4 linked regions of the Arabidopsis thaliana genome follow. The protein of the gene in region 2 interacts with the protein of the main gene of each other region in a pairwise test. Each region holds a gene or a part of one and is shown on either strand. Other genes may lie near its edges.

What was found.
Region 1: the proteins of HMG (region 2) and AT4G00390 interact in binary tests that used the Arabidopsis thaliana proteins (3 or more experiments, as listed by UniProt).
Region 3: the proteins of HMG (region 2) and AGL18 interact in binary tests that used the Arabidopsis thaliana proteins (3 or more experiments, as listed by UniProt).
Region 4: the proteins of HMG (region 2) and AT5G28040 interact in binary tests that used the Arabidopsis thaliana proteins (3 or more experiments, as listed by UniProt).

Annotation. Positions count from the first base shown.
Region 1 is NC_003075.7:169,643-176,365, reverse strand, and holds AT4G00390 (DNA-binding storekeeper protein-related transcriptional regulator), read left to right. Parts: upstream 1-3,520; 5' UTR 3,521-3,621; coding exon 3,622-4,716; 3' UTR 4,717-4,879; downstream 4,880-6,723. Other genes in the region: GPAT8 (glycerol-3-phosphate acyltransferase 8), read left to right, coding at 15-327, 830-1,304, 1,651-2,054; FDM2 (XH/XS domain-containing protein), read right to left, coding at 5,918-6,148, 6,347-6,559, 6,662-6,723.
Region 2 is NC_003074.8:10,780,949-10,789,229, reverse strand, and holds HMG (high mobility group), read right to left. Parts: upstream 4,343-8,281; 5' UTR 4,277-4,342; coding exon 4,223-4,276; intron 3,937-4,222; coding exon 3,751-3,936; intron 3,675-3,750; coding exon 3,569-3,674; intron 3,479-3,568; coding exon 3,342-3,478; intron 3,264-3,341; coding exon 3,180-3,263; intron 3,099-3,179; coding exon 3,004-3,098; intron 2,917-3,003; coding exon 2,808-2,916; intron 2,673-2,807; coding exon 2,586-2,672; intron 2,488-2,585; coding exon 2,395-2,487; intron 2,316-2,394; coding exon 2,118-2,315; intron 2,031-2,117; coding exon 1,885-2,030; intron 1,795-1,884; coding exon 1,647-1,794; intron 1,567-1,646; coding exon 1,459-1,566; intron 1,378-1,458; coding exon 1,195-1,377; intron 1,037-1,194; coding exon 958-1,036; intron 860-957; coding exon 732-859; 3' UTR 501-731; downstream 1-500. Other genes in the region: CYP81D11 (Cytochrome P450 superfamily protein), read left to right, coding at 1-466; AT3G28720 (uncharacterized protein), read right to left, coding at 4,891-7,101. UniProt on the Arabidopsis thaliana protein: Component of the FACT complex, a general chromatin factor that acts to reorganize nucleosomes. The FACT complex is involved in multiple processes that require DNA as a template such as mRNA elongation, DNA replication and DNA repair.
Region 3 is NC_003074.8:21,229,763-21,237,949, forward strand, and holds AGL18 (AGAMOUS-like 18), read left to right. Parts: upstream 1-3,709; 5' UTR 3,710-4,147; coding exon 4,148-4,329; exon of another isoform or gene 4,330-4,849; coding exon 4,850-4,958; intron 4,959-5,051; coding exon 5,052-5,107; intron 5,108-5,195; coding exon 5,196-5,295; intron 5,296-5,379; coding exon 5,380-5,421; intron 5,422-5,521; coding exon 5,522-5,563; intron 5,564-5,645; coding exon 5,646-5,794; coding exon of another isoform or gene 5,795-5,798; exon of another isoform or gene 5,799-5,882; coding exon 5,883-5,973; 3' UTR 5,974-6,216; downstream 6,217-8,187. Other genes in the region: AT3G57380 (Glycosyltransferase family 61 protein), read left to right, coding at 240-438, 523-600, 673-1,910. UniProt on the Arabidopsis thaliana protein: Probable transcription factor involved in the negative regulation of flowering, probably through the photoperiodic pathway. Prevents premature flowering. Downstream regulator of a subset of the MIKC* MADS-controlled genes required during pollen maturation.
Region 4 is NC_003076.8:10,033,471-10,042,422, forward strand, and holds AT5G28040 (DNA-binding storekeeper protein-related transcriptional regulator), read right to left. Parts: upstream 5,532-8,952; 5' UTR 5,468-5,531; coding exon 4,184-5,467; 3' UTR 4,114-4,183; exon of another isoform or gene 3,567-4,113; intron 2,647-3,566; 3' UTR 2,073-2,646; downstream 1-2,072.

The sequences.
Region 1 (6,723 bases), on a different chromosome or scaffold from region 2:
TGAACTTTGTTTAGGTTTTACGCGGCGGATGTGAGGAAAGACAGTTTTGAGGTGTTTGATAAGTGTAAGAGAAAAGTGGTAGTGACGGCGAATCCGATTGTGATGGTGGAGGCGTTTGTGAAGGATTATCTTGGAGGTGATAAAGTTTTGGGAACAGAGATTGAAGTTAACCCTAAAACCAATAGAGCCACTGGATTTGTGAAGAAGCCTGGTGTTCTTGTTGGTGATCTTAAGAGGTTAGCCATTTTAAAAGAGTTTGGTAACGAATCACCTGATCTCGGCCTCGGTGATCGAACCTCTGATCATGATTTCATGTCTCTCTGCAAGGTACTGTTCCAATCTTTTTATCCAATCTTGGTCGATTATAGGGTAAAGTTAAGTTGAATTATTGAGTGTTGATTGGTTTAGTGTAAGATGTGTTTTGGAGGTAACTTGAGAATCTAAGCAAACGTTTGATTTGCTTGTTGATTAAGCTAGATAATCTAATTTAACTTGTTGACTGGTTTAGTGTCATTATGTCTACGCGTGAATCTTATAAAAATAATGAAATTTTTGATTTGGAAGCAATTAGTAAGGTTCATAAATGTATCCAACCAATCACTTCACGTGACCCTCTGGATTATTTTTCTATCCCCAACCACCTTACTAGTTCCACCAACATTTTGGGCTGTCCATTTAATGAACACATACTTGAAATATCATAAACAATCTTCTGTTGTTTAATGCTTAGTTTTTTGAATCTTGATTACACAATTTAGAGATATGTTACATTTTCCTAGTACTTTTAGTTATAAGTTTGAAATGAATAACGTTTTTGGTATTATAACAGAAAGGTTACATGGTTCATGCGACCAAGTCAGCCACAACGATTCCAAAAGAACGCTTAAAGAACCGCATAGTCTTCCATGATGGGCGTTTAGCGCAACGTCCAACTCCGTTAAACGCCATTATCACATACCTATGGCTTCCTTTTGGTTTCATCCTCTCCATCATTCGCGTCTACTTCAACCTCCCTTTACCTGAAAGATTTGTCCGTTACACTTACGAGATGCTCGGGATCCACTTAACCATTCGTGGTCATCGTCCTCCACCTCCTTCCCCTGGAACTCTTGGCAACCTCTATGTCCTTAACCACCGTACCGCGCTTGATCCCATCATCGTTGCTATTGCTCTTGGACGTAAGATCTGTTGCGTCACTTACAGTGTCTCTCGTCTCTCCCTTATGCTTTCTCCTATTCCTGCTGTTGCCCTCACCCGTGACCGTGCCACCGATGCTGCCAACATGAGAAAACTTCTCGAGAAAGGTACTTTACACATCTTCTCATCATATATTACTAGAGCATACCTATAACAAGTTTCACTGTCCAGGGGGTTCAATAGGAGTTTCTATTTCTTTCTTTTTATTTTTCGATGAATACATATATAGTAGCCCATGCAAATCTCAATATAGTAAATATTACTTTGGTATGGTCTTTGATGTTTACTTTGGTACCTAATTAACGCATCTTCTAACCAAATTTATATAAATGAACATAAAATAATATTGTTTACTTCTTTTGAATATTGACTTACATTCACATTAATCTTTAGTTGAGAAATTAAAAATCAATGGAGTTGTTGAGCTAATGATATGTTTTTGGTGTATAACAGGCGACTTGGTGATATGTCCGGAAGGCACGACGTGTAGAGAAGAGTATCTACTGAGATTTAGCGCTCTATTCGCAGAGCTAAGCGACCGGATTGTGCCAGTAGCGATGAACTGTAAACAAGGAATGTTCAACGGGACCACAGTTAGGGGTGTGAAGTTTTGGGACCCTTACTTCTTCTTCATGAACCCAAGACCAAGCTATGAAGCCACTTTCTTGGATCGTTTGCCTGAAGAAATGACTGTCAACGGTGGTGGCAAGACTCCTATAGAGGTGGCTAATTACGTCCAGAAAGTTATCGGCGCGGTTTTGGGCTTCGAATGCACCGAACTTACTCGCAAGGATAAATATCTTTTGCTTGGAGGTAATGACGGCAAGGTGGAGTCTATCAACAACACCAAGAAGTGAATATCTTATTCTTGTTATAACTTGGCATTGACTTATTGCAAGTAAGGTTGGATCATATACGAATTTTCATGTGTGTAATTGCTTGAGCTCTTGTCATCATTATGGTACGTTATTGTTATGTTTATTCTATTTTGTTCTTAATGTCGAACGGGTAACTATATCCTTAAAAACTATTTTGTGATCCCGTTTCTATACGGATGTGTATAGAGACTTTCTATTTAAAGTGCAAAATTTTATTGGAGGAAGTAAATTTTGGATCATGCAAATGTAAATACATACGACGTATATATGTTTGAATAAAACTATGTTTCGGTGGAATTGTGAATGATTAATTATGGTTTTTTTTTGTTGCAAAAGTAGCAATTTTTTGAAAAAAATAATTAAATTTTTAACAAACTAAATAAGATCATTGTTAACTATACGCTTTTATAAAAAATCTCTTGACAAAAAAACAAAAAAACTTTTTATTACACTGTCATAATTTCTTTTATTTTTAGAGAAATTAGATTCGTTTTACCGAATTGAAAAATGGTGATATCAATATGAGAGTGTAGCAGACGAGAGATCATGAATTTTGAGTTCCAACGTAGAAATGTCTACATTATCATCATGAGAGTGTTGGCGGACAAGAGATCATGAATTTTGAGTTCCAATGTAAAAATGTCTACATTATCATCATTTAAGTAACAGACGAAAACTTGGGATTTGATGTATTATATTATTGGTGCCAATTCATTAAAAAGAAACTCATATTCCTGTATTTTTTGGGATGATTTTATAAACATTGGCAGTAAGAAATGAATATATTTCTGTATATAGATATTTCTGTATATATACAATTAACAGAAAAATGAAATGAAAGCAAAAAAATCATTACAGTGCGAAAATATGTGAAGCAAAAATGTGAAATTATACTTATTATGATTTGTCATTAATGTCATGATCTAAACCTAAATTATTCTTTCATTACAATTTCTATATTAGTTTTTAGTGGGCTTTAATTATACATAATATTAAACTCCTTCACCAAATATTTGTTAATGAGAATGAGATCCATGAGAATGAGATCTTATTATGATTTGTATGAGAATGAGATCCATGGGAACATTAGGCAAATCAAAGATTTGTATATAATAAGCAAAAATGTGAAATTGTACTTATTATGATTAGTCATTAATGTCATGACCTAAACCTAAATTACTCTTTCATTACAATTTCTAACATTAGACAAATCAAAAATTTTTATATAATAAGATTATAAAACTTAACAAATAATATTCTTTGAGATTTAGAATCTTAATTTAATGACAATATTAATTGTTTAACTCATAGAACAATGGAATTTTAACGGGAACTGCTACATTGGAAATATGAAACGATTTGAATAAGGAAAGCAAATTTCGCAATTATTGTTTGAGAATATCGAAATTGATTATAAATATTCCTTTTCACTTATCATCGTTTCGTCACAAACCCTAAGAAGCTTCTCATCTTCCTCACAAACCCTAAGAAGCTTCTCATCTTCTCTTTCTCTCGAAAATTCCGATTTGCTCTTTTGAAACTTCCGATGACGAAGAAACTCGATCCACCAACGGCACCTTCAAGCGACGAAGATGACGTCGAGACTTCCGAAGATGATTCCTCTTCATCTGAAGAAGACGAACCAATCAAATCCCTTCCCGCCACAACCGCCGCTGCTCCTGCTAAATCCACCGCCGTCTCCGCCGCTACTCCAGCTAAATCCACCTCCGTCTCCGCCGCTGCTCCTTCTAAATCCACCGCCGTCTCCGCCGCTGCTGATTCCGATTCTGGTTCGGAGAGTGAAACAGATTCGGATTCTGAATCGACGGATCCTCCGAAATCTGGATCCGGTAAAACAATCGCTTCAAAGAAGAAAGATGATCCGTCGTCGTCGACTGCTACTTTAGCTTTACCGGCGGTGAAATCTGGAGCAAAGAGGGCAGCGAGTGAAGCTGCGACGACTTCAACGAAACGAGTCAAGAAAGATGAAGAGAGTGTAAAGAAGCCAGCACTTTTTCAAAGACTATGGAGTGACGATGACGAAATCTCTATGTTACAAGGAATGATAGATTATCATGCTGATACAGGGAAGTCTCCTTCCGCAGATACTAATGCGTTTTACGAGTTCCAGAAGAAATCTATCAGCTTTGAGGTTAGTAAGAGTCAATTCTCGGATAAGGTTAGGAGTTTAAGGAAGAAGTACCGTGCTAAAGAAGGAAAGGACGAACCTAGGTTTGTGAAAGCTCATGATAAGAAAGCTTTTGAATTGTCAAAGTTTATTTGGGGACCTAAAGGAATAGCTCTTGATTCTAATGCTAAGTCCAACGGTGTGTCGAAAAAGAGTGCGAGTAAGACGAAGGAGAAGCTTGATTCTGTAAAGCAAGACTTGGCGTTTGTTGGTGTTTCTTCAACTAATGGAGATGATTGGTTTGAGAAGTCGTCTCTTGCTAGGATGATTGCTGGTTCGGGTATTGATGAGTATTATGTGAGGCAGAAATGGAGTTCGTTTACTCTTGAGACTAAGAAGATTGTTGAAGAGAAGTTTCAGTTGATGCAAGCTAAAGAGCTTGAGGCTATGTTGGATAAGAGTGTGCGTTTGACTGACCTTACGTCTTACTTCGTTGATGCTTCGAAGAACTAGAGCTACTAGTTACTTAGATTTGTCGGTTTTTTGTATCGTAATGCTATGCATAATGCTTTCTTTTGTTTTTCGGATTTAGGATTTGATTCTTTCTGGTTTGTTTTTTTGGGGTTGAAAGATTCTCTACGTTATAATATTTATTTTTTTATTCGTCAACTTGTCCTTATTATACCTCATCTTTGTCTTTTAGAAGTTCTTGTACCAACTCCAAGAACGAATCTATGTTCCTGACAAAACCGCCTTGTACCATTGTTAGGTAAAGCTTCCCAACCATAAGCATCTGCACTTTGTAACTTGATTGTGTTCTGTGAGAGTTGGAGTTTGAAAATGATGAGTAAACTGTTACATTGAGAAAACAACTCTTACCAAATGAAGATTTTCTCTTCATAAGTTATTTCCAAAATCAGACATTTAGCAAGTTATACCTACTTTGCATCCAAGTCTGTTGGTCACAAAACAAGACCATAGCAATGCAAATATAGCTTGGTTACAAAAAATTTAGTCACATTGCTTCAGGATGATTTAACTATATAAACAACACAGTTTTTGTGTCTGGTATAGAAGATAACACTGTTTTGTTCAAAGCTTTTGACTTATGAACTACAAAAACTAAAGCTTTGTTACTACTATTAAGATACTGCCTAACTCGTCCAAAATAAGCCAAGAAGAAACCTTAATAAAAAGATTATTGACTATGTTACATGCCAAAATAATCTTAACACAAACTTGTTTGATCATCATTTTAGGTGGCTTTTAACAAGAACTTAAAACAAAAAGCATAAACCAAGATTACAATAATTACAGATTCGAATTCTTTCAAATCAAAAGGTTTAAGAAATTAGTCTCCATAGAGAGCATACGAGCATCCTAATAATTTTATTAGACAAAAAGCTTAACCATTTAATATTCTTCTTCTTCTTCCTGCTTCTCCAATCCTGCAACCAAAAGTAGAAGACCATTGGATTCTTCAGTTCAAATCAAAATGGCGCAAGACCAAAGCCAGACCAGATCATAATTGACAAGTTCTTTAACTGAAGTCAACAAAAGAGATCATGCCTCTGCAGTATTTTCTTGACGAGTTTCTACCCTAAACCTTTTACACGTTTCTCGGATTATGTAGTGTACGTAGTTTTGGACCAGCACATTACTATATAAGCTATATAAGGAGACCTGTGTCAACTGAAGAAGATTTAGCATACCTTCAGGTTCTTTTGCGTTTCAGATTTTTTATGTCGGTTGAAATGAACGTAATCACTTCCTTGAGAGTGGCTTTTCTTCCTTCTTTGAAGTTCCACAGTTCTGAAGTCGGGTACCGACCACTTGCATTATACTCATTCATCTCCACAAGAGCTGCTTTTACTGCGTTATGCACCTCTTTTCCCCACTCTCTTTTAAGCTTCTTCAGCTGCTCATCATCCTCGTCTACCACTTCCTGTAACCATTAACATCTAACACCATTACCGCTAACTCACAAAAACAAAAACAGTTGTACCAACATATGTATACAAGTATCAACGTTCACAGAAATCACAGGTTACTCCATATTTAACTAAAACAGTGGCCCAGAGAGGGAGAAAGACCAGATACTTTTCAAAGTCATATAAAAGACTTGTAAAAGGAATGAACCTACCTCTGCTCCGTCCCCGGTTCCTTCACGCTTGAATGGTTGCCATGATGGATTCTTAAGGTTCTCCTTCCATGTAGAGCAAAGGGTGGCAGCTTCAACCCTAGCTTCATTTGCAGAATATCTCAGCTTGCAAACATCCAGGAAAGGTTTCTCATCAAGTTCTCCCATCCTTTTTACTCCGATATCGCTCTCGGCACCCAACAATCCTGTCAAACCCTGGATCAAAGAGCAATCTTTTGAGTATTCTAAAATACTAGATAATGGCAAAAATGCAACTCTATCAGTACCCAAGAACACTAAAGCATTAGAAATCTGTACCGCAATCATTTTTTGCCGCGCTGCTTGTATCTCATCATTGCTTTGGCGTTCTTTTGTCATCA
Region 2 (8,281 bases):
ACTTCCTTACCTTCAGCACATTGTGTCAGAGACTTTACGGCTTTATCCGGTGGCTCCAATGCTTTTACCCCACTTAGCATCAGAAGATTGTATAGTTGATGGCTATGACGTTCCACGCGGCACAATCATCTTGGTGAATGCATGGGCCATCCATAGAGATCCAAAGTTATGGGAAGAGCCAGAAAAATTTAAGCCGGAGAGGTTTGAGAAAAAAGGAGAGGATAAAAAGTTGATGCCATTTGGGATTGGACGACGATCTTGCCCTGGTTCAGGGCTAGCTCAACGGCTAGTGACTTTGGCTCTTGGATCATTGGTCCAATGTTTTGAGTGGGAGAGGGTTGAAGAAAAGTATCTAGACATGAGAGAAAGTGAAAAAGGAACCACAATGCGAAAAGCTACATCGTTGCAAGCTATGTGTAAAGCTCGTCCCATTGTCCATAAGGTTTTAGATGCTTCTTGTCCATAACTTTCATCATACAGAACCTCTTGTATAACAATTTCGATAGAAACACGATCTGTTTTGTTGCTTCTTAGCTATGGCCTTACCAGAGTACTCTATATTTTGAGGTAAAGACAGGCTCTTCTTTTCTAGGAAGTAACACAAGATCTTTAAGGTCAAAGAGAAAAATCTGGTTAACTCCAAACAACTAAAGGTCCAACGTTTACTACATGCCATAACTTAGTATTGTAGGTAAATGAGATACTAGTAGAGAATGTTGGAGAATCAAAGTTTAGTTACTATCGGAATCGTTTCCTGAGTCCACATTCATCGGCTGAGGGTTCTTGTAATCACTGATCTCATCCTTGTATCGCTGCTTGTCGACTTGAGCCTTGGCTTCATATGGCTCTTTATCATCAGCTATACATACACACGGTTGGGGAATTAAAACACATTCACATGATAAAGTAAAACCAAGTAATGTATTTACTTTTGAAAAGGATCTTCAAATTTTTTACCAGACATTTGACGCCACTTATCTCCAAGCACCTTTCCCACCTCTCCAAATGCTATTCCTGGGTGTTCCTTCTTTATGTTCTGTTCAGTTCACAAATGGAAAATGACATAATCAGGAATGTGCTAAGTTTGTCTGTTAATTGTTTGCTCTCATGTATGTAATAGACCGAGGATACTCCATTTCGCAACTTAGCCTACATCATAGAGGTAAAAGTAAAAGAAAGGAGAGAAGAACTCACATCTCTTTCCATTTGGGAAAAGAACATGAAACCAGACATTGCTCTTTTTGGTGCGTTGGGATCCTTCTTCTTCTTCGGCTTCTTCCTCTTACTACTGCCTTCGTCTGCGGCTACAGTTTTCCTCTTAGGAGGCAATCCTTTCGATGACGAAGCCTCTTTCTTAGGTTCCTTCTTGATAGATTTCTATAACAAGTCAATGACAGGAAGATATGAGAAACAAATACTGCTGCTGAAAGAGTTCGAATGAATGCGACAAAAGTTTACCTCTTTTATCTCTCCTACACCGCCTTCACTAGCATCAGAGTCGTCCCCGCCAGAATCATCAGTTGGTGAACCACCATCATCATCCTCACCCATAACAAAGTCTTCGTCCTTCATAAATTAAAAGTCTCGATTATCAAACACATGATCATTAGAATATGAAGTAATTCGGTCAGACATAAAGTACTTGCCTCCTCATCACTCTCATCAGCAGCTTGGTTTCTGATACGCGTAAGATGAGGGTCAACAGCATCATCATCATCATTATCCCCAAGAACAGCAGCAACACCGTCTGCGGTACCCGCACCTCCAAGGTTCATAATCTTCAAACCCTTAGAGCTGCAGCAAGAAAACATAAGGAATATTCACCACAAATCTTAAATGCACTCAGTAAATATAGACGGAGACAATGAAATAATCCGCGCTAACCTTATGAAGGTATAGAGATTGTGATACTCATTTCTTTGAATGTTACGGAACAGATGTTCATGGTCAGTTTTCAGTCTTATGAGAAGATCAAAGTAATGCATGTTAGCACCACCAGCAGCATGCCTTTCAAACTCGACATAGTCAATCTAAAAACGAAAAAAAAACAGGTTAGAAAACCCAACTCTATCTCAAAGCCTATAAAAAATCTCCAATCCTTAATAACCATAATTTACCTCATCGTGAAGTATAAGCGTTGGAGGTTTAGGTAAGAAGAAAAATCCCTTCTCGAGTGGATAAAGAACCCCATCTTCTGCCTTGAGAGACGATTTCACTGCAAACCCATCTTGGGAACTGCGGAACTTCCCAGGTTTAGTGATCTTTGCACCAGACAGCCAACGCAACACGGTGGTGAATACTTCATGAATGAGACCCTGAAAATTCATACAATTCAGCGTATGTATAAATTTTTTTATTCAGGAACAATAATGTAAGTGCAGACCAGACAGAAACCTTATATGATCGCTCCAGCTTGTCCTTGAACTTTGTATTCATAAGTTCATCACTAATTGACAGTTCACTTTCGACAACGGTGTCTGTTTCAAACTGGAGAAGATGCAAAAACAGTTATGTAAATCAGAGTAAAAAAACGAAAATTATACATAGAAAATTGAAATGGAAGGAAAAATGTAAGTAATGTTTACCTGCATAACAATGTGGGGGTACATTGTCTGACCTTTCCGGATTGGTGGGTCTAGAGAGATAACAACAAACGTGTGTGGTTGGTTTGACTGCTCAGGCATATAAAAAAAAATACGAACTCAATTAATGTGAACACGATTCAGTGATCATAATACGATAATCCCTTTAATCTGATGACTGCTAACATAGGTAACTGCCCTGAGATATGCTTAAAAAAGAATTACCTTTGGAAGCAAGAACAAACGGACAACGCTACTGTACTGGATTTTAAAGTCATTAGCTTGTCCTTGCAATCGTAAGAAAGAAAGGTGAAGTTCCACATTGTACCGACCCCTGTGATAGAAACAACCAAATCATTTAGTCATGACAAGATGAAGCCATACAATAGTGCAACAAATGTTTAAGTAATCAACTCTTTACCTGGGTGTGAGGATTGCAATACTCTCAAATGTGACGACCGCATCCTCAACTCCAGGACTAACATCAGCCATTGCAACGATTGTGTCATTGAAAACCTGAGACATTCTTTTAGCATCAACAGAAAAAAATATATACTTGAGGCACATACATATAATGAAAATAGTTTGGGAACTCACTTGAGAAGGTGGACGGTTTTCATCACCAACAAACTGAGTGTTGGAATTAGGAATATGAAAACTAATCTCCATCAGCGAGTCTTTCTGTAAACACGTAGAATATAAATCAGTAAATGTACATACATAACAGCCTAGAGATTACATATCAAAAGAAACCAGTACCTCATTAGCACCAGCAGTATCATCAACATGAAACTCCAAAGTAACATCATTTTTCCCTTGAAGCTGAGTCTGTGAAACATCAGCTAAAGATACTTCAAAAGCTTGTTTTGATCCAACCAAAAAGGTTAGTGTATTCCCTACACAAAGAAACAAAAAATTCTCCCTTTAGATCCACAAATGAAACTAGACAACCACAAGTAAAGCCTAAAAGCTATAAGAACTCTCACCGTGTAAATCCACCTCTCCCCAATTACGACCACTAACTGATAATTGCTTCTCATCCGGTGTTTTTCCATAAGAACTTTGGAAAAAGCTAGACAGACTTGGAACATCCTACAAAACAAAGGAATCAGAACAAGCACAAACATTACAATATCAAATCAAATAAAAAAGATATACACACACAAACCTGATCTCGAAATCCAACGAACTTGTAGTACAATCCATCTTTGGTTTTGACTCCCAATTGATTACTCTTTGTCACTTTCGTCCAACTAACACTTACAATATCAGATCTATCAACTTCCACAGCTTTTCCACCACCTTGTTTCTTCCATTGAATTCCTCCAGAATTGATTTTAAGTAAACCCGGGTTCTAAAAAACCAAAATTGAAACCCTAATTAGCCTTAAGAAAACCCTAAAAACTACCGCAGCTTTAACAATTGTAAACAAGAAAACAACACAACTGAAAAATGAAAGCGACAATCTTTTTTTTAACCCTAAATTTGACTCATTGAGTTCTTTAAGAATCGAGCGGCGGAAGCAAAAGGGGATACAGAGAAAGGAGATTAGGGTTTTCGAAGGAAGAGGAAAAGGTGAAAACTTTGAAGGAATTGAAAGATCTTGAGAGATAGAAGGAGACAGAGAGAGAAGATGGTACCTTTCCACCGCGACCGCTGAGAGAGATATTATTGAAGGAGTGGCCGTCCGCCATGGTTTTCTGTTGAGAGACACGAGAGAGACGAGAAAGCGAGAGCGAAAGAGAGAGAGTGATTTTTTTTTTTCCAAACTATGATATCAACTTTTATACATAGACACTCAGGCGGTTTAATTTTGGGAAGAAAACCAATTTTCGAAAATTAGATTTTCCGGTTTAATTGAATTTTTGAGTTTTTGGTTTTGCAGATTTGGGAAAAAGACCTTTATCAAAAAACGGTAAAAACAGAAGGTTGTTTTGAGTTTTGGATTTTTTCACATTTGGAAAAGAAACCTCTTATAAAACAGAATTTTATATCAATTATGTAGGCATGCGGGTTCGGTTTACCAAACCGGTTACTTCGGTTTTGTTTGGCTTTGGTTAGGAGGGGAAAACCGGTCTAAGGGTATGGAGAAGTGATTATTGAAGGAGACAATAGGAATGTGATGGAGCTATTCAAAATAAATAGACAACCAAACAGAGGATCCGAGCATTGTCTCTATTGTTCAACATTACCAAATGGAAACAAGCTCATAATAGTAGTACATGTTGTATTAACCTCAAAAACCAAACTATCAAAGTCTTTTTATCCAATGTAATGACTATAAATTACCCTGCATTGCTAGAATTCTTCAGAACTGTTTTCGTTTGTTCCTAAAGAGTCTATCTCTTTTCGAGAACACGTAACCAACAGCCATTAACCCGAATCCCGACACTGAAACAGTTCCCCATGGGAACGGTGGATCTTTGAAACAGTTGAGACTCGCTTCTACCCGTTGTGACGCGAGGTACACTACTGAATGCACTGAGTACAAGTCGTGTGAAGCTGATCTTAAGTAGAACAAAGCCATCTCGAACTCATTGTGTGATAGAGCAGAAACCGTTTTATCCAGCTTGTACTGCATAAGATTCCACCTTTGCATGAACTCAGAGTGGCGATTCTGTTTCCGTAGGATCACATCTCCTCCATATGCAACCGCGGAATCGATAACATCGATTGCACTTGTGATAGTTGTGTTCAAAGATGTCAAAATCACGTTTCTCTTAGCAGCATCTTTCTGAACAAACGATAGAGACGAGATATCAGAGAATGGTCCAAACGGTGTTTGCCCAATGCTCCATGTATAATCAACTAGAGTTGTGTTATGTCTCGGGCTCCATGTCAAATGAGTAGAAGATACACCCCACATACTCTGCAGAATGGAACCAACGAGAGGTCGTTCTAAGTCTCTCGTATGAACAAACACATGACGCCCGTTGCAAGTATAATCACTAACCGTTTGAGTTCCTCTAGTTCTAACAGCAATCACCATATCTCTAAAAGCAACAGACTGATGATACCGATCAAGCAACAAAGGCGTATTGATATCCAAATCAAACACATAAACAGGTAAAACCCTAGCAAACTCATTTCCTTCTTCTTCAACAATCCCCGCAACTCTCCTCAACTCCTCAGCCGAATCAGTCAACGCCCGATGCATATGCTTAGAATCCAAATACTCACTCACAATCAAAGTATAGTTATCAAACAAAAACCTAGAAGTATACGAATTCATCCCACGAGATACCGCAAACGAACAAATCGAACATTCTCTATAATTCACACTATAACTCTTAAAACTCAACTTCTGTTCACCTAACAACAACCCACCACTCTCAGCTTCATCCATAAACGTTCTCTTCACAAACTCCAAATCTAACCCACTCGAATCCTTAACCTCTGACCCATACACATGAATAAACTGAACCACCAACGTATCCTCAAAGTACACAGGGATTCTCAAAGAAGGAACAATCAAAACCTGATAAGCATTATACACCAACGAAGCCAAATCCGCAAGTAAAGCTTTTTCTGATTTAGGACGACCATGTAAAGCAGCTAAAGGATGAAACTCACCTCTTGGTAAAACACCATCACCAGATAAAGCAGGACCATAATCTACAGGACCAGCAGAGAGATCAATCCATAGATAACGATCTTTACCAGTCCAAATACTACCTAAACATTTCGTAAACCCAGCTGATGAATCACCATGAGAGTAACTATAAGCATAAGGTTTAGCTTGTGAGCCTAAAGAGATCAAGTAAATGTAAACACCACCATCTCCATGCTTCTCTTTCTCATACTCTTGCTTTATAATCTCATCGATTGGATTGTACTGGATCGAAAGGAGATTAGATCTGAGAGATGAAGTTGTTGATGAAATTAGGGTTTTCAAAGTTGAATCGAGTCTGGTGGAGAGAGATTGGGGAGATAGAGAAGCGTCAAGGTGGAGAGAGTGAGAGATAACGAGTTTGTGATTTGTTGATGAATCTGGAGATGGAGAGATTACATGGAAGTTGTCGTTAGTTACGGCGGCGGAGATGAATTCGGAGAGAGTGGAGGCGGCGGAGGAAGGGAAAGAGTCTCCGATGAAACGGACGTTGAGTGGGATTGAGATTGAGAGAGAGAGGAGAGATTTGGAGAGTGATGAGAAGTGGATTGATGAAGAAGAGAGAGATCGTTTGAGAGAGGAGGAGAGTGATGTGAATGAGTCGTTTGATGATTTTGGGTCGAGACGATATTGGTTTGTTAGGAAGGTGTCTAGGCCTGGGATTGGTGGAGAAGAAGAGGAAGTGGTGGTGATGAGTAGGAGGAGGAGGAAGATGGAGGCGGATCCGCCATTGAAGTAGGTGGTGATGCGGTGGTGCGTCATGTGAGAGTGGAGGTTAGAGGAGGAAGACGAAGACGAAGATTTGTTTGGGCTTTCGAGGGCTAAAAATGTCAAATTGGGGTTAGATTTAAGTGGATTTTTCACATTGGGGTTAAATTTAGGGGTTTCACTCCAACAAAAAACTATCATTTAAAATTTGGGTAATGATAACGTGAACGCGGTTGAAGTTATGAATTATCGACCGAGGTTTTGAATGGATGTTGCGGTTAATACTAATCAATCCGCGATTCAGTCTACTTTATTTTAGGGGTAGACAATAAATCAATACAGATTTAATTTATCTCAATCAGTATTCTAAAAAGCGATTTTGGTGGTTGTTTAGGCCTCGACTAGGGGCTAGGCTCTCATGCGACGCCTAGATGACCGTTTCGACCGCTTAAGATTAATTATGCTTCCAATATATGTTTCCAATATTTAATTATTCAAATTTACTTTTTTTAAGTTTTGTCTTCATATACATGGTTTTAAATGTTCAAATATTGTTTAGTATGAATTATATGTACGTTTTATCACATTTTTGTTTATAAATTTAATATTTATATTTTTTTAATCCATATTTTGAATGATGTTTATCTATAATAACATATTTATAATGTTTTATGTTATAAACATCTTAACCGCCTAAAATTGTCTAGACTCCGATTAGGTGTTTTAGGCGGTAGACATTGGATCACCTCCCGAATAGCGTCTGACGTTTTCTTGAACACTGATTTCAATATAAAAAACGGTGTGCAATTGGTCCACAACGTCTTTTTCTGTTTTTTTTATCTATACTATTAGGAACTATAGTTTATGAATGGTAAATAAAAAGCGGGTCCAGTCCATACACGGTTTTGTCTGCTCGAACCGTTGTAACGATTCGGACTCTAAGAAATAGTAGGAAAGCTCTCTTTCTCTAATATTTTTGAGAGAGAGGGGCTCTTATCTTTATTTGCGGTTAACATGTCTTTTCCGTTGTTATATTCTTGCCGTCAACATAGTTTTTTTGTTGTCATGTTTTTGCCATTAACATGGTTGTTCTGTTGTCGTTTTTAGTCGTTCCAATGAAGTTGGGTTTTTCGTCCCGATTAAGTCGGGCTTTTTGTTTGACATCACAATTTTTATAACATTGCAAAAATGATTTTTCCAATGAAAGTAAGATTAAATGCATGATGTAGTAATTTTTTTTATATATATCTATTTAGAAAATGTTATAAAAGAATATAAAATTTAAAATTTAAAATCCGTTTCTAAAAACAATGTATGTCAAAGAGTTTTATTTATTATTAAGTTTTTACTAAAGAAAAAATAAAAGATTATTAAACTCAAT
Region 3 (8,187 bases), about 10 Mb from region 2:
TTAAAGAAAGTCATCGAAAACAACCTTCATTCAATTTGAAAACATCCTCTCTCTCAAAAGTCTCTCCTGCTCTGTTTCTCTCTTGATGTAAGAGAAAGCACCATACCCCAGGTTTTATATTTAGAAACAAAAACCTCTTTCTTTCTTCTGCGATAGTCAGAAGAACATCAAAAGTCGATTAGAAGCATCTAAAAAATCAAAACTTTGCTTGTGGGGTTTCTTCTTTTGTTCGATAGAAAATGGTTCAATACAAAAGACTAATTAAAAAAGGAGAAAAGCATAGACTTTCGGTAGAAGAAGGTGGTTCCGGTGCCTCCGCCGTCACTGTCTCCGGCGGTGTGTACTCAAAGACAGCCAAACAGAAGCTTCTCTTAACTATCTTTCTCTCTTTGCTCTCATGCTGTTACATCTTCAGCTTCTCCTCTTTCTCTCTTCTAGGTAATATCACCTTACTCATAATCTCTTTCATTAATTTTTTTCTAGATTTTTCTCATAACTTCGATTGTTAATTTTCTTGTACAGGTGCTTTTAGCAGAGAAAGTAAAGGATTTGGTCCTTATGAACTGTTCATTGCACCTCTTTGTTCAGGAACCTCTAATGGTATTTTATCTTTTCAAATCTCTTCTTTTTAAATTTGAACAAGCTCTGTTTAATGATGTATCTCAATCACAGGAACAATTTGTTGTGACAGAACCGGTTCTAGATCCGACGTTTGTATCATGAAAGGAGACGTTAGGACACACTCTGCTTCGTCATCAGTCTTCCTCTTCACTTCCCTCAAAAACAAGACCAAGATCACGAAAAAGATCAAACCTTACACAAGAAAATGGGAAACAAGTGTGATGCAAACAGTTCAAGAACTCAATCTCGTTTACAGAGATGAAGAAAACAATTCTTTAGTCGTCTCCTCTGTTAATGACATCTGCGATGTGTTCTATAACGTTCCTGCTGTGTTTTTCTCAACTGGTGGATATACAGGAAATGTTTACCACGAATTCAACGATGGAATCATCCCTTTGTTCATCACTTCACATCATTTCAACAAGAAGGTTGTGTTTGTGATTGTTGAGTATCATAGTTGGTGGATTATGAAATATGGAGATATCGTTTCTCAGCTATCAGATTATCCTCCTGTCGACTTTAACGGCGACAAGAGAACACATTGTTTCAAGGAAGCTATTGTGGGATTGAAGATTCACGACGAGTTAACCGTTGAATCATCGTTGATGCTTGGGAATAAAACAATTCTTGATTTCAGAAATGTGCTGGATCAGGCTTATTGGCCACGTATCCATGGATTGATTCAAGAGGAAGAACTCAAGGCAGCTAACAAGACAGAAGACGGTTTCAAGAAACCAATATTGGTGATTCTGTCTAGAAATGGATCGAGGGAGATACTAAATGAGAGTCTTTTGGTTGAATTAGCTGAGGAAATTGGATTCATCGTCCATGTTTTGAGACCGGATAAAACAACAGAGCTGGCAAAAATCTACAGATGTTTGAATTCTAGTGATGTGATGATTGGTGTTCACGGAGCTGCAATGACACATTTACTTTTCTTGAAACCGAAAACAGTCTTTATACAGATTATACCAATAGGAACCGAATGGGCTGCTGAGACTTACTATGGTAAACCAGCTAAGAAGATGAGATTGAAGTACATTGGTTACAAGATTAAACCGAAAGAGAGCTCTTTGTACGATGAATATGGCATCGATGATCCCATTATCCGAGATCCTAAGAGTTTTACTCAAAAAGGATGGGATTACACTAAGAAGATTTATCTTGAGCGCCAAAACGTGAAGCTTGATTTGAAAAGATTTAGGAAACCGTTGTCTCGTGCTTATGATTTCTCGATGAAGCGAATTGGACTGGTGTATATCAGTCACAAACCGGATGTTACCAATTAAACCGGGGTTTGAGATTGTATAATATAATTTTGGAGATGTAAACATTTTGTACAGAGAATGCATAGACTTTCTTTTGTGTCGTACCTAATGACACAAATTTACAAGCTTTTGTTCTGTATAGAAATCACTAACCGGAGAATACCAACTAAACTGAGTTTTTTTCACACTTTTTCCACTGAGTTCATACCACATTCAACTGGGTCTAAGGGCCCAAATATTATTTGCTTTATAGGCCCAAAGTCCCAAACATGCTAATCTTTCATGATACCTCCTCCATACGTCTTTTTTACAATTTTGTGTGTTTTACAAAAAAAAATTTTGCTTAGTAATCTATTTGTTAAGATTTTTTCCGTTTCTATTTGATAAGAATATATTCGATATATTTTCAATTTATACTGTATAGAGTAGCTTGTTATAATTATCATCAAATTTCATTGTTTTTTTCATAAACAAATATGATTAAAATTGATCTAGAAGTCTGCACGAAGAAAAGTAAAATGGAAACAAATTGCAGATTTGCATGTAATTACGACAAGTGGCTCATTCTCTTTTTTAGCATGTTACAGAAGTGTCTGGTTAATGGGAAAAAAAAATATTGAACTTTCTTTTATTTTGTATATAAACCAACCTTATGTGAGTAATATCCCAAAGAGGTTTCTTTTAAAATATCTTTGGGTTTTTAATTCATTTATGGGAATTTCTATAACAAAATTTCACCACAAATAAATGTTGTTCCTTTCGTAGAAGAAAACAAAATCTTAAGAAATCACGTTATTTTCGTATTTGATGGTAGTTTATAAATTTCGAAAGATGATTCAACGCGATTCATACGAGATATTATTTTTTTGACAACAACAAAAGATAGTAAAGTGTTAAAAAAAAATGTGTAAAGTTTTATGGAGTATAATTTAAAGATTTATCTTGAATTGAGAATGTGTAAATCACATTGGTTAAAGTGGAACTAAATATTTTTTTAGTAAATTATTTGTTTTTCTCTAGCTTAGTTTTAATTTCAATTTTGGAAAAGGGAGAATATTGACCAAAAACAAAAAGAGCACGATTAAATGACCTAACACTACATTTAGAAACACGCATCTGAATTATTTACATTGCAAAACAAAAGTGTTGAGCTGTATAGCATGTATTTATATTTACTTAAATACTTTCCATATCTATAAAAAGATATTTGCTCACCAAAATTTCACAACCGAACTAATTTTATTTATTATTACTAATGTTTAGATAATTCCACAAATACAGTGTAATTCTCAAAATATAATTTCGGTTACAATAGAAAGTCTTCTCTAGAAAGAGATATTTTTCTTTTACTAAAAATACAACAAACTCAGTTTGGAGGGGAAAGTAATCTTCCTTGTGAGATTTTACTATCTATAGAAACGTTAAAGCCACACCTTTTGCTTTTCTTATCATATTCTTCTTCAAATACGGCCACGTTTGGCCATTCTACTAGATCTCAACCCAAAAAAAAGAAACAAAATCTCAACCAACAAGAAAACAAAGCTAAAGAGAAAAAAAAGAACACAGTAGTTGTTATTTCATAAATCTTTTAAAGATATGAAAATATCAGTTATTAAATAAAACAGTATCCAAAACAACTAAAAATAAAGACTATAATAAAATGAAATAGTTGATCAAATATTTCCTTATTATAGGGATCAACTTTATTTGACTATATAAAAAGTAACATTTCTGTAAAGCAATAAAACAATAAAATTATGGAAGATTAAGTTTTAGAAACGTAATAAAAAGCATGATGACCTAAAAGCAAAGCCAAAAAAGAAAAACCCTAGAAGATAAAAAAAAAGGGAGGCGATACACGAAATAGAGAAGAGATCCAAAACCAAAACAAGGGCGTTATAAATGGGAAGAAAGTTCCAAAAGAAGAAAACAGCCACTCACACCAAGCAAAGCAAATTAGCAAAGCCACCAAATATGGAAAATTGCTACTTATAGTAACTCCCATCTTTTTATATAATACCCTAATTTTGGTCCTAATTTTCCTTCCTTAGCCCCTTTCCCAATATTTGATCAATTTCTAAAGAAAACCCCTTCCTCTACTAGTCCTCCTCCTATATATACAAAATCTTAAGAAATCTCTCTACTTGTTTCCTCTGTTATCATAATCTCTTCTCTCTATATCTCTTCTCTTCTTCTTTTACCCTGTTTTTTTTTTCATTCCACAGAGCCCAGGTTGATTGATTTTGTTATTCAGAGATATGGGGAGAGGAAGGATTGAGATTAAGAAGATTGAGAATATCAACAGTCGTCAAGTCACTTTCTCTAAGAGACGAAACGGTTTGATCAAGAAGGCTAAAGAGCTTTCGATTCTCTGTGACGCCGAGGTTGCTCTTATCATCTTCTCCAGCACCGGCAAGATTTACGATTTCTCCAGCGTCTGGTATATTAGTTATCATCTCATGATTTTGCTTCTTTTTTTTTGCTTTGGGGAAATAAAAAGTTTTGCATTTTTATGGGTTTTTGTGTCTAAAGTAAATGAAAACAGAGCAACCCCTGTTTATCTATATCCTAATCTGGCTAAATCTTTAGGTTGATGATGAAATAATTTTGATGGGTTATGATTTTAAGGTTTGGAGAATTGAGATTACGATTTTTGCTATCGGATTAGTTTGTGTGTTTTATAAACCCTAACTGTTGATGAAACTACAATTTGGTCACTATCTTTGGTATCAGAATTTGGGAGATGCATTTGTCTATGTATATATCAGTTGTTAGAATCTCAACTCCAGAATTCTGAAAGATCGTTAATTTCTAAGATTATTAGACCATAGAAGTGTTTATCTTATCTTTATGAAGAAATTTGAGAATGCAGAAGTTTAGATTCATGATTTTTTCCTGTAATGATCAATCAAACCAATTACGGGGTTTTACTAACGGAGAGTTTTGTTCAATTTGTGAAGTATGGAGCAAATTCTTTCTAGATATGGATACACTACTGCGTCCACTGAGCATAAACAACAAAGAGAACACCAACTTCTAATTTGTGCTTCACATGGAAATGAAGCTGTGGTAAGCAGAGACTCTCTACCAAGAATTTATTTTTGTATCCCTTTGTCTGTGTTCAAGTTTTTGGTTTACCTTACATGGTATTCGTTGTTGTAGTTGCGAAATGATGATTCTATGAAGGGGGAACTTGAAAGATTACAGCTTGCAATTGAGTATGTATCTCACTGGAAAAAGAACTTGCGTTTGTTCTTGGTTAAAGTTTCGGCCTTTCATCGGTTTTTTCTACTTGTTCGTGAACAGGAGACTTAAGGGTAAGGAGCTTGAAGGTATGAGTTTCCCGGATCTTATTTCTCTTGAAAACCAGTTGAACGAGAGCTTGCATAGTGTCAAGGATCAAAAGGTGAAGACAAAATACTAATTTATTCAAACATCGAGAGATGATTTTTGATTCATCCCTGTCTTGAAAAGTTTTGTTTTGATTCAGACACAAATCCTGCTCAACCAGATTGAGAGATCCAGGATACAGGTACGAACAGAGCTCCTCAAATGTCAGAATCATTGTTATTATCAATTCGTATACAATGTTGAATCTCAACACTCTTGTTTTGTTTCCTTGTCATTAATAGGAGAAAAAAGCATTGGAAGAAAACCAAATCTTGCGCAAACAGGTAAAGATTCATCAAAACCCTTATATTAGCTCGGTCTGGTCTTCACCAGTCATAACTGAGTTCAATTCTAATTTGCCCTCAGGTTGAGATGTTGGGGAGAGGTTCAGGACCAAAAGTGTTGAATGAAAGGCCTCAAGATTCTAGCCCAGAAGCCGATCCCGAGAGCTCTTCATCAGAAGAGGATGAGAATGACAACGAGGAGCACCATTCCGACACTTCCTTGCAGTTGGGGTAAACTGCAAAACAAAGCCCTAACTTCTGTTACAAGCTTTTATTGTTACTGAGCATTCTACAAACTTGTTGGTTTGATCTTTCTTAGGTTGTCGTCGACGGGGTATTGCACAAAGAGAAAGAAGCCGAAGATCGAACTGGTCTGCGATAACTCTGGGAGTCAAGTGGCTTCTGATTGATGGAATCGATTATTTTTCTAATTCTGGTTGTTTAGGGGTCTCTATGTGTCTTCTTGTTTCTGGCTGTTCTTTTGCTTTATTTCATCTCAAGTAGAGTTTTCTTAATGTTTAGGTGGAACATTTTTCCATAATCAAGAAGGGATTTGATCAATCAATAACATTAGATTTTCTTAGTTAAAGACTTAAAGTTGCCCACACACCACACCATATGTGATTATGATGAATTTACATTTTATAAACAGGTTTTCAGTGATTTCAAGAAACATAAGCGTGCATTCATTTTTTTTTTGCTTTAACTAGAACCCAAATCTTCAATAGTTTTCATGAATCGACTTTGAAAATACATAAATCCACAACATTAATATGATTAAGCATTCTTGAAATCCTAAGTTAGGTGAACAGAGAGTTAAGAGTAAATGCTCCTAGACATGGTTTAGTCGATTGCAGATAATTCGGGTCAGCAAAGAAATGTGATCACTAAGCAAATCTGGGTTGCGTAAACTCGTTGACAATAAACGGAAGCGTCTTACCCCTTTTTTCCGGCCCACTTCTTTACTTGGGCCAAATAATTTTATTTTGGGCTTTTTTTAAAAGGATGATCTTAATTGTGTGTGGGCATTTAAGGGCACCGACAATTCAAAGGTAGCCGACGGCTTACAGAAATATGGCTGCTCAGATCATCAGAGACCCCATACAATAAATATTTATGTTTCGAGAAATAAATCACCAGATGGTTGACAAGTTGCGGCAGTAAGTACATGTTACTTTTCTTGTCAGAAAGTACAACAACAGTACTTTTTTTATAGTCGACACTAAAATTAAGACTCGTATTTAGTAATGCAGAAAAATCTTTACAAAAATATACTATATACTCCTGAGAAAAAGCAGCTGATTTGACTGAAATAAAGAAAATGTTAGTAGTCTAGTAATGATTTGTGAACTACAAACGTTGTTTAAGGCGTTTACAGTAATATTAACATTACGGAATACAAAAGGGTGATGACTAGTCGACAAATAAAAATGGTAATGAGTCTAAATGACGAAATAATTAAAGAAATGTGTGAAAGGAAGAGAATAATAAGCACAAGTCCCGGACCTGAAAACGGAAAGATCAGAAGAGCCACGTGTGCAGGAGCTTGAAGAGAAGGTTCCAAATGAGAAAGAGATCCACCACCGTCATCAACACACACACACACACTTTGTTTGTTCTCACGGAGTCCCCAACAAAAGTCAAATCACCGTTCATTGAGCCCCACTTTTATTTACTTACATGTTTAATAGACCCGTTTGTATTACGAGACACTTCTAGTCGCATGTCTCCACCGTCCGATCACGGATCCTAGCTGTAATCAAGGGGGCAGATTTAATGAAGTGGGCCTCTTAGTAACTGCCTTCTCCACGTATCCTGACAATTTATTGTTTTCTTGTTAGTATTTTGCCATTTTTGGTTTATTATAGGATGATTAATGATCTTATAACTCTTCCATAAACTAATTTAGATAGATACGCATTGCATAGTTTGTTTTTAGGTCGATGAAAGCTAATTTATACTATACCTTTGCTTTGTTTGGTTTTGTGTGTCAGCGTTACATTAACTTGTCTTTGTTTTTTCACATTGTTAACAATAAACTCCAAAATCCAACCATAGCATTTTCGAGGTTATATATACTTGTAATATTCATTAAATTTCAGAAATTACTCATAAACTATTAAGAGGATGTTGCTTATAATTCAACCCCCATTTCAGTAGTACTCAACATTCAACTGCATTCAACTGAATCTTTTGGCTTCAATTACTATTTCCATTACAATTGTCCAAATGTAAAACGATTTTTACACAAAAATCAGGAAAATGATATTCCATAATGATAAACCATGATATTGGTAACCAATAAAGACTAGTACATGTAATCGAGCTTCATAAATCAGAATACGTAATGAAACTTAACCAGTCAATGTAATTTTTTTCATACAGGAAAAGTAGACTGAGAACGGTCAAACTTTGTTTTCTAAAAAAGAAAATTAGGCACATCCTTGAACCACGTTTGACAAAATCTCTGGTTTAATTACACATTAACACACAAGTACTCACTCTCTCTTTAAAAGGCTCTATACACTGAATTTAATAAGGAAGGTTCTCACTTCTCATCAATATGAATTTATCATTTCTTATATACTTTGCACTTTGCGCAATAAACATGTGATCGTATTCAT
Region 4 (8,952 bases), on a different chromosome or scaffold from region 2:
TATATATTTTTATTGATAGCACTAAATGTTTTTAATAAAATAATACTATATAAAATTTGAAAAGTCATATGTAAAATAAAATAAAATTTCTAAAATGTTTTGAGTACTACTATTCATATTTCATAACATTAACTCCAATTATTTGGTATTATATAATCAAACGATCTTATATCAATGTCCAGACTAATTTTCATAAACTTTATAAAAAAAAAGAAGAGGGTAGTCCACATTGGAAAAAATAATACTCCCTCTTTCAACTCTGATGAACCAATCAAACTGGAGTTACTGGACCACCATGAAGTAGTTGATCTAGACTCTAGAGTGTTGAAAAATGATATTTCTGCAAAGTGGAGTGTGAAAGAGAAAATGAAGGTCGGTGGAAGATCGATTGACATGTGGTGGACACACACACGATGTATATAATTGTGTGTAGTATGAAGAAAGTTTTGTGCCATTGCTTTGATATGAAAATAACATCTAAGGCTAGGCTGCTATGGAATTGTGAAGTATTAAAGACAAGTTTGTGCCCTTTCTAGTTTGTGAAAATAACATCCACGGATAGGCTTGTATAGAAACAAAATCTAAAAGGCGATGCTTAAAAGTAGAGCTTAAATTCTAAGGCTATGCTTGAATGGAGACAAATTCACAAAGGTGTTAGCCGGATTTTAACAATCTTTCATCCAACCGCCTTTATGTTCCGATCCATGCTTTTTATTTTGGGGTTTTAAGAAGTAAGTAAAGACAAGAAAAATATCCAAAGGCGTTTTCAAACATTTTGAAGATAACATTAAACACTATCCTTTGAAAAGCTTAACACTAGATGCGCGTACCCATTCTCATGCTTTAGGTTATGCTGCTAAACGCAAACGTAATCGTTGTTCTAGTTGCCCAAATCGTATCATTATTGCACAAACATATACGGTCATTTAAAGTACATAGCCATATTTATGCATGTTGAGTACATATTTATGTATGTGCAAGGTGCAAATGGTTTCATGACCAAATATCTTTAATCTTCTACTTAATCACTAGATACCGCGGGTTGATTATTTACGTTATAAATTATATTATTTTTTTAATTCTATATCATCTATATTTAAATAATCATATTATATTTTGAATTTATCATTTTACTTTTTATATCTATTTATTTTTGATATTATATTTGTATTTGTTTGGTTTGATCTTGTTTAATTAAGAAAAACTGTTTATTATACGCACATTATATAGAGAGTGTATTTTTATGGTACGTTATTATGTGTTTGTTATATAGTATTTTTTTGTTAAAAATGAACGTATTTGGCTTAAAATAGTTTTCTTAACTAATACTTATATACATGTTTTTTTTATGATGAGTTATTACGTGCGTTCTTAACTAATATAGATGATATTAAATTAAAAAAGTAATTTAATTTCAAATGGTTTTTACAATATAAAAAAAAAAATTCTAGAGTTCAAATATTATTAATATTATAAAAAATTTATAGATTCTAAATATTATAAATACCAACTTATTAAGAGGTACACTGCGGGTTGATTCTTTTCCATTTATTTTATAATTTATAAATTTATGATTTTGTAAACTATAAAGTATATGATATTTAATAAGATGTAGCTCTTATAGTATTATTCGGCATTTACTATATAGCTAAATATTTATATGAATAAGATGAATGTTATTAAGTTACTATCATAAAGTTCAAAACTAAGTAAGTTTAACTAAATTGTAAGATAACTTAAAGATCGTCCAAACAAAAAATATGGTATAGGATTTAACCCGTGGTGTAAAATAAAATGAAATTTGAAAACTAAATAAAATTATAAACTAAAATTAAAAAAAAGTTCTTTGGGAGAATCTAAAAATAAGAAAGTTCTTTGAGAGATTTGGATATAGAGGATCTTTTTTTTCAATTTCCCTTAATCATAAACTAAAATAAAATAAATTACAAAATTATAGTTTTTTTCTTCCTTTTTTTTGTGCCAAAACATCTAAATAGAAAAGATTCTTTACATCTAAACCCCAAAACCACTAATTAGAGAAACGTTAAAAAAAATTTCCTAAGCAAAAATAGAAAAAAAAAAAAAAAAAAGAAGAAGAAAGGTTTTGTTTCTCTTTCTCTCCGCCGATGGTTGCGCAAGCGGAATCTTCTCTCAGCATTCACCTCGGCGTTTCTCCTTTTTCAGCGTTCACGTCGGCTTAAAAAGTTGCAATACCTAAAAGTTCAAAGAAGAGGGCAACATCTCCATCTTTTCCCATATTGCATCTAGAATGATGGGAGAGAATCTAACGCTTAGGCATAAGGTAAACCTTTTCCAAAGAATTCAAGTAATCAACAGCTCTTTCTCTGTTCACCACAATAAAAGTATGTTCATCGATTTCAATTTTAGACAAACCCTTAAAATTAAAATGAAAATCAAAAGCCAAAATCAATAAACCAAAATAGAGGATAAAAACTCTGTCAATCAAAATGGAGATAAGAATTAAGAATACTCACTTTCCTCACCAAAGCTCAAGCTCATCTTCAGTAATCGCATCTCTAACAACACGCTTATCTCTCGATCAGTCTTAGCACCAGAAAGCATCGTCAAAGCTCCATTAGAAGTGATTAACGAACCTTTCTCATACTCAATAGCTTGCTCATAAAGCTATACAAACAACAAAATCACAAACTCAATCTATTAAATTCGTCACACAAGCACTGATAAATATTCTGTATAGCAAAACATTTCTAGAGCTATGCATAAGAAATACCTTGCTATATGAGAATTCGGAGGGATCATTTAGACTGAGGCAAATTGTGGTTGTGGTAATTGTTCGATATGAGATGGTTATTTATAGTGGATCATTTAGACGTTAGAATGTTCTAGATATTTTAATTTAGGTAATATTCTGATATTCAAATATCTTGAGAATATATGCTTGTTATTAGTTTACAAATCTAAACAAAAAACAATACCCAAGTGTTAATGTGGTTACCTTTTTTGTAGGGAAATTTTGCCAAAAGATATATTAACAATGATTGACGAAAATTAACGAAAAATTGAACTCAAAATTTGAAAAAATATAAATTAGTTATGGAAGATGCTAAAGATTACCATTTTTGTAGGAAAGAAATCGATCACATTTATGTTTTTAGATATGACATTAAAATATTATTACAGTTTTTTCTAGAATTCAAATAGGAAACCATTTGATTTGAAAATAGTTGTTTGTTATAACTACATATACGATTTATATATTTTCAAATCAAAAACTAAATATTGTTTAAATATTTTTAGGCGTAAAGCCAATTAAGAACGGAAATACAGATTTCTCTAGTATATTGTGTGTTTATTTGAGGTAACAGAAATTAGATTTTGTGTTGCAATTGATAAAAGAAGAATAAATTTTGGTAAGATATCATTAGCATTTAAAACTAAAATTATTTTCGAATCAAATAATTGTAGATATGGTTAGTTATGATTGATTTCCGGGTTTTGTTAATTAGGAAATTAGCATAATGAATTTCGTATAGTTTTAGGGATTGATTTGTGCAATTTATGAGGGTAGTAGTTAACAATATCCATGTTTAGGCAAGTAGTTAGTGCAATATCTTAATTGTTTATCAAAAATTTGGTTATTGTCCTAAAGAAAATATTTTGTCTGATTGATTTTGTAGGGACTAACCATACAATATCGAAATTGAAAAAGGATTTTTCGACACAAATCGTCCCCAAAAATGTATATGTAGATATATCAAAGAGTTATAATAATAACTTCAACAGGTAACGAAGAGAAGACATAACACCAAAGATTCTACACTTGACACGTCTTCGGAATACATAGATCAAACTCCAAAAGAATACATGTTAATGTTCATTAATCATTAGATGTATAATATCATATTATATGCATCACACAAAAAAACATTATAAATAGCACAAAAGAGTTTTTTTTTTTTTTTGAACTCTACCAAAAACTATAATTTATCAGCTAAGAACAAAGGTTATTCACTCCTAATCGACAAAATTAAAAAAAGATTCAATCAAGAAAAAAAAATACTAAAACCCTAAAAAAGATTTCATCACCATCAGAAATTTTCATTAAGATTATTACTTTTGCTAATACTATACCTCACCATCATAATCTTTCTTCATCATTTTCTCATAACTTAAAGAACCCATTGTAGTCTTTCCTTATGCATCATCCTCCATTAGGCATTGTCTTTAACTCATTCACCGTGGCTCTAATCTGTTCTTGAACCAATTCTAATCTCCTCGAATACACTTCCAGCTCAAGAATCTGTTGTCTCCTCCACCGTTCGTCCCCTACTCCCTTACCACCAAACCCTAAATTCATCGACGGCATTAGCATCGGACTCAACACACCGAGAGCATGAGCACCACCTCCAGGAAACCCACCCGTTGCAGCCATCATCATACCCGTCGTACTATTCATCATCTCCTTAATCATGGGCGATACACAATTCTTAACCGTCTCTTCAATCAACACTCCAAGATTCCTCCCATCACCAAAATCACAACCAACAGCCACATTCTCGTTAAGATTAACCGCATTCGGTATCACCCCGTCACACGGAGCAAGAACAGGCTTATCCTCGTCGATCTTCCCGATCCTAGACCGTGATCGTTTTCTACTTATCGTCACTTTCTTCTCTAAACCATTCTCCGAATCAACATCGACATTCGCATTACCGATAACAGAGACATTAAAACCCGAGCTACCATTCGCGTTATTTACATGATTAGTTTCTTCTAAATCCATCACATTATTATCTTCAAAACCAATAATTTTCCCAGTTTGATTCCAAATCTTCCTAGAGATATCAAAAGTAGCTTGATCATGAGGACTTTTAAAGAACACTTCTTTACCAGAACTAAACTTACTCATAACATTCCTATACTTCTTCTTCAACCTCCTTAGCTTCTCCACAAGCTGATTCTTATTAAACTCTAACTGTAGCTTAGATTTAATCTGTTCATAAAACGGCGCCGTATCAGGCGGATGAGAGCTGTTACCACGGTGGTTTGTGATGTAATCGAGAAAGCCACGGAGAAGCTCGATCTCGTCTTCGTCAGTCCATAGTCTCTGGAATAAACGTCGTGAATCATCAATCGGTGGTCTCTGATGAACGATTTCAGTCATACGGTGCCATTTCTGATCGGAATCTGATGGAATTGAAGCTACAGGTACGGCGGATCCAGCGGGAAGAGCGACGGTTACGGTTCCTGAGGATGATTTCGTCGCCGGAGCTCTGGAAATCATTGACGGAGAATTCAGATCTTCGTATTCTGGATCGGGATCGGGATCGTGATCGTCGTCTTCGGCTTCGTTTGGTTCGGGTATAACAACATCTTCGTCGGATTCAGTTTCTCCTCCTCCTCTTCCGCCACCGCCACCGCCGCCGTCTTCTTCTAGATCTGGTGATTCAGCGGAGAAATCAGTGTCACGTTGATCCGATGCCATGAGAAAAACGTAGCGAGAGAGAAATTTTTCTGGTAGATCGAATCAGATCCAGAAAGAAGGAATTGGGTTCACGAGGATTGATACGGGTTTGTTTTTTGGGTGGTGGTAGGGTATGGAGAATATTGGAGATGAGTAGGGGTAGTTTCGGGATTTTAAGAGTTGTAATTATGACTAAGGGTGTTGCGGTTGCAGGCAAGTGGTCCAGTGTTTGTTTCTTTTACCCGTGCTTTGTTTGGGTTGTTGCGGTTTTAGTTGAAGCGTGATCATGTGTTTAAAGTCAATGGTCTACCGCAACCGCGGCGAAACAGAAAAGCGTTCGACAAACTTGATTTTGTTATTCTGTGTACTGTTGCGTTTCTTCAACGTCCCATATTAACGGGTGTTGTGATTGGTGACTGTTGTTTATGACGGTTAAGAATGTTTTTAGAGATTATAGAAAAAGCGATTAGAGAAAATGCGATGACATAACAATGAAAAAAGGTGGTTACTTTAAATTGAAAAAAATTGTTATAAGGAAGGAATATAAGAGATTAGATAACATATAAAATTACTTTTACTATTAATAATCTCTTAATAGAACAATACAAATAAAGTTATATTGAAAAAACTAATACAGTATCAAAACAATTGGTAAACTCACAGATTTTTCATGTGGCTTACAATCGGCTTGTTTTAATTTTTAACCGCTCACTTCATTTGTTGTAACACCCAATGGCTATTTTTAGGTATGACTGGTTTAAACGCAGTGGATATTGTATGACTTGCGAGAGTTTGTAAAACGGACGGTTGTGATTTTAAACATTATGAAATATTTTTCAATGATATGGTTAGCTTTTGAAAATTGGTGCATTTACAGAAATTTTATGAATGATTAACCAGCCGGTTTGAACGAAATTAAACCAAATAAATATAATTAATAATTATAGAAAGTATAATTACACCAAATATTTTTTATTATAATAATAAAATGTAACATAATTTAAATATAATTAATAATTAAAATCATATATAACATTCTACATAATTATTCAAAATAAATAAATTTCATAGTTAAATGTTATTACTCCATGCATTTAGTTCATGAAAAAAATATCTTTATACTAATATAAGGAAAGTACCTTTAGAAAATTCACATTGCCTTTTCTAAAGTATTACTAACCAATGCCATTAGAAGTATAATTTCAAAGTCCAAATTAATTCACCTCATTAAGAATAAACAAGTCAAATTACATAAGATCTATTTGTTTTTCTCGCGGGTTAGAGATCTTATACATATGTTATGTTAGAACCATTACTTGACCAAAATCAAGAAACTCTTTACTTGATCAAAATCGCTGGTTACAAATCTTATATATACTGCTTTTTCAAGAAACTCGGCTCTCTAAATCCTTATTGCTTTGAAGTACGCTTTAACCAACTTCCTCATTATGCATTGAAATTTGGCTTGGTGTTGTGGTAAATCTGACTCTCAATCTATGAATTTCTATAGCTATGCTTTAAACTCGATTTTGAATCTCTATAGCTTTGAAGTGGTGGAAAAGAACCAAAAGTATGCTTTTCTTTTTATCGCTCTCTTGATTTTGTTTCAGGGTTTTTTATTATGTTACACATGCTTTATATATATATATATATATATGTTTGGTGTTAATGGCTTCTCATTCTTGACTATGCAAGTTAGTAAATTTCTCCTTATGTCGCTAAATTTTCTATTTCTCTAGGTTTAGATTTAGAATTATAGTTTTGGTGATGACTACTAAACAAATTTGGTGCTTCATAATAGGTAATTATCTCAGCTCTACGTCTTCTCGATGAGGTTTTGCACCAACAAATCGATAATTGTTGGACTATTGGGCTCTCTAACCAATTCACATGAGTAGGAAGAACTTTGGGATATATTGTTAATAATGAATCCTTATGAATCTAGTACCTATTCAATGGAGTTAACAAGGACCACTTTACTCCAAAAGGAGCCATAGATAACCTCCTTAGCGCGAAATCATTTTGGTTAATGAAAGGACTATTCTGGAGAGACTTTGTTCTCTACCTTACAAACTTGGTGTTGCAAATGAAGTTGTAGAGTTATATTAATGTATAGTTATTGCTTTTATTTGGAGTGTTTTAGAAATGAATTCATATTTGTTTTTTAATTTTGCTAACTAGATCAATGCATCAAGATTCAAAGTAGTTGATCTTATTGTTCATAGAGTAGAAGACTATGAAAATCTTACCAACTTTAACAAAGATTTATTTCGCTGTCTTAATCGAACGCATGTGGCTTTGTTGTTCCAGTCTTTTAGTCCTTTGGAAATATTGGAATAACGAAGAGTAGAAGATTACATTAAGATGGTTATGGATTTCTAATTTATATCTCACTTTGTTGAGATAAAAGGGTTACATTATACGCCCAAAAACCTTAAGTTGAAGTTCAAGCATGTAAATTTTGTTGATCAGATGCTGCACAATAGTTACGTTGAGGCCATAACATTGTAAAATGTTAGCTCACTAGGCAAGTAGTTGTTTTTTTCTCTTTTGGAATCTGATGGCTTCTTTTAATGGTTCTAAAAAATGGTGATTTTAACAAATGGATCTTATCATTTATCTTGCTGTATTTAACAAATTGATGCGGATTTGATTTTCTTATTTTCAATTACCTTTTAAATTTCTGATTTCTTGATAATTATTAATTGGTTAATATTAGTAAAAATGATGTTCCTTAAAAATTTGTTCTTTAATGTCTTTGATTAAATTGTAAATTAAAAATTGAATTAGATTTTTCTTTTTTCTTTTTTTTTTTGTTGTTCTAAGATTTTGTCAATGATTTTGTTAGAAAAAATAGTTTAACCATTGATTTAATTGTCTTGCTCTTTATTTTATACTAGATTTTAACCCGCGGTATACCGCGGAGACAATTTATTTTTTAAATTAGTATATATAAAAGTTTGCAAATTAAATCTATTTATTTTTATTTTATAGTTTACAATTGTTATTAAGTAACGTCCTGCCAAACCCGTCTCGCCAAATCCATCCCATAAAAAAAACCGCGGTACACCGCTAATTTAAATATATAATTAAAATAAATATTTTACGGGATTGCAATTGTATTTTGGTTTGTCAAACAAATATTTGTTTTAAATAGTTGCCAAAATCTAGTTCAAATTTTGGAGAAAAAAGATTTATTGGATAGATAAAGAATGTATTTAGGTGTGTTTTGCTCATTTTAAGGGATTGCAATTATATTTTTGTTTGTCAAACATTTTTTGTTTTAAATAGTTGCTGAATACTGTGTGCGTGACATATGAGATTGGAATATTTTTAGTTTGTTAATTAATTTATTGCTGGAAAAAAATCAATAATTAAAAGGTAATGGCAGCCATTGTAAATAAATCTCAACTCCAGGATTTATTTCACAAAATGACTGCAAAAATGTATATATAGATTTATAATTTGATTAGAGATAAAATAGTTATTTGATTTTACCTTTCTAT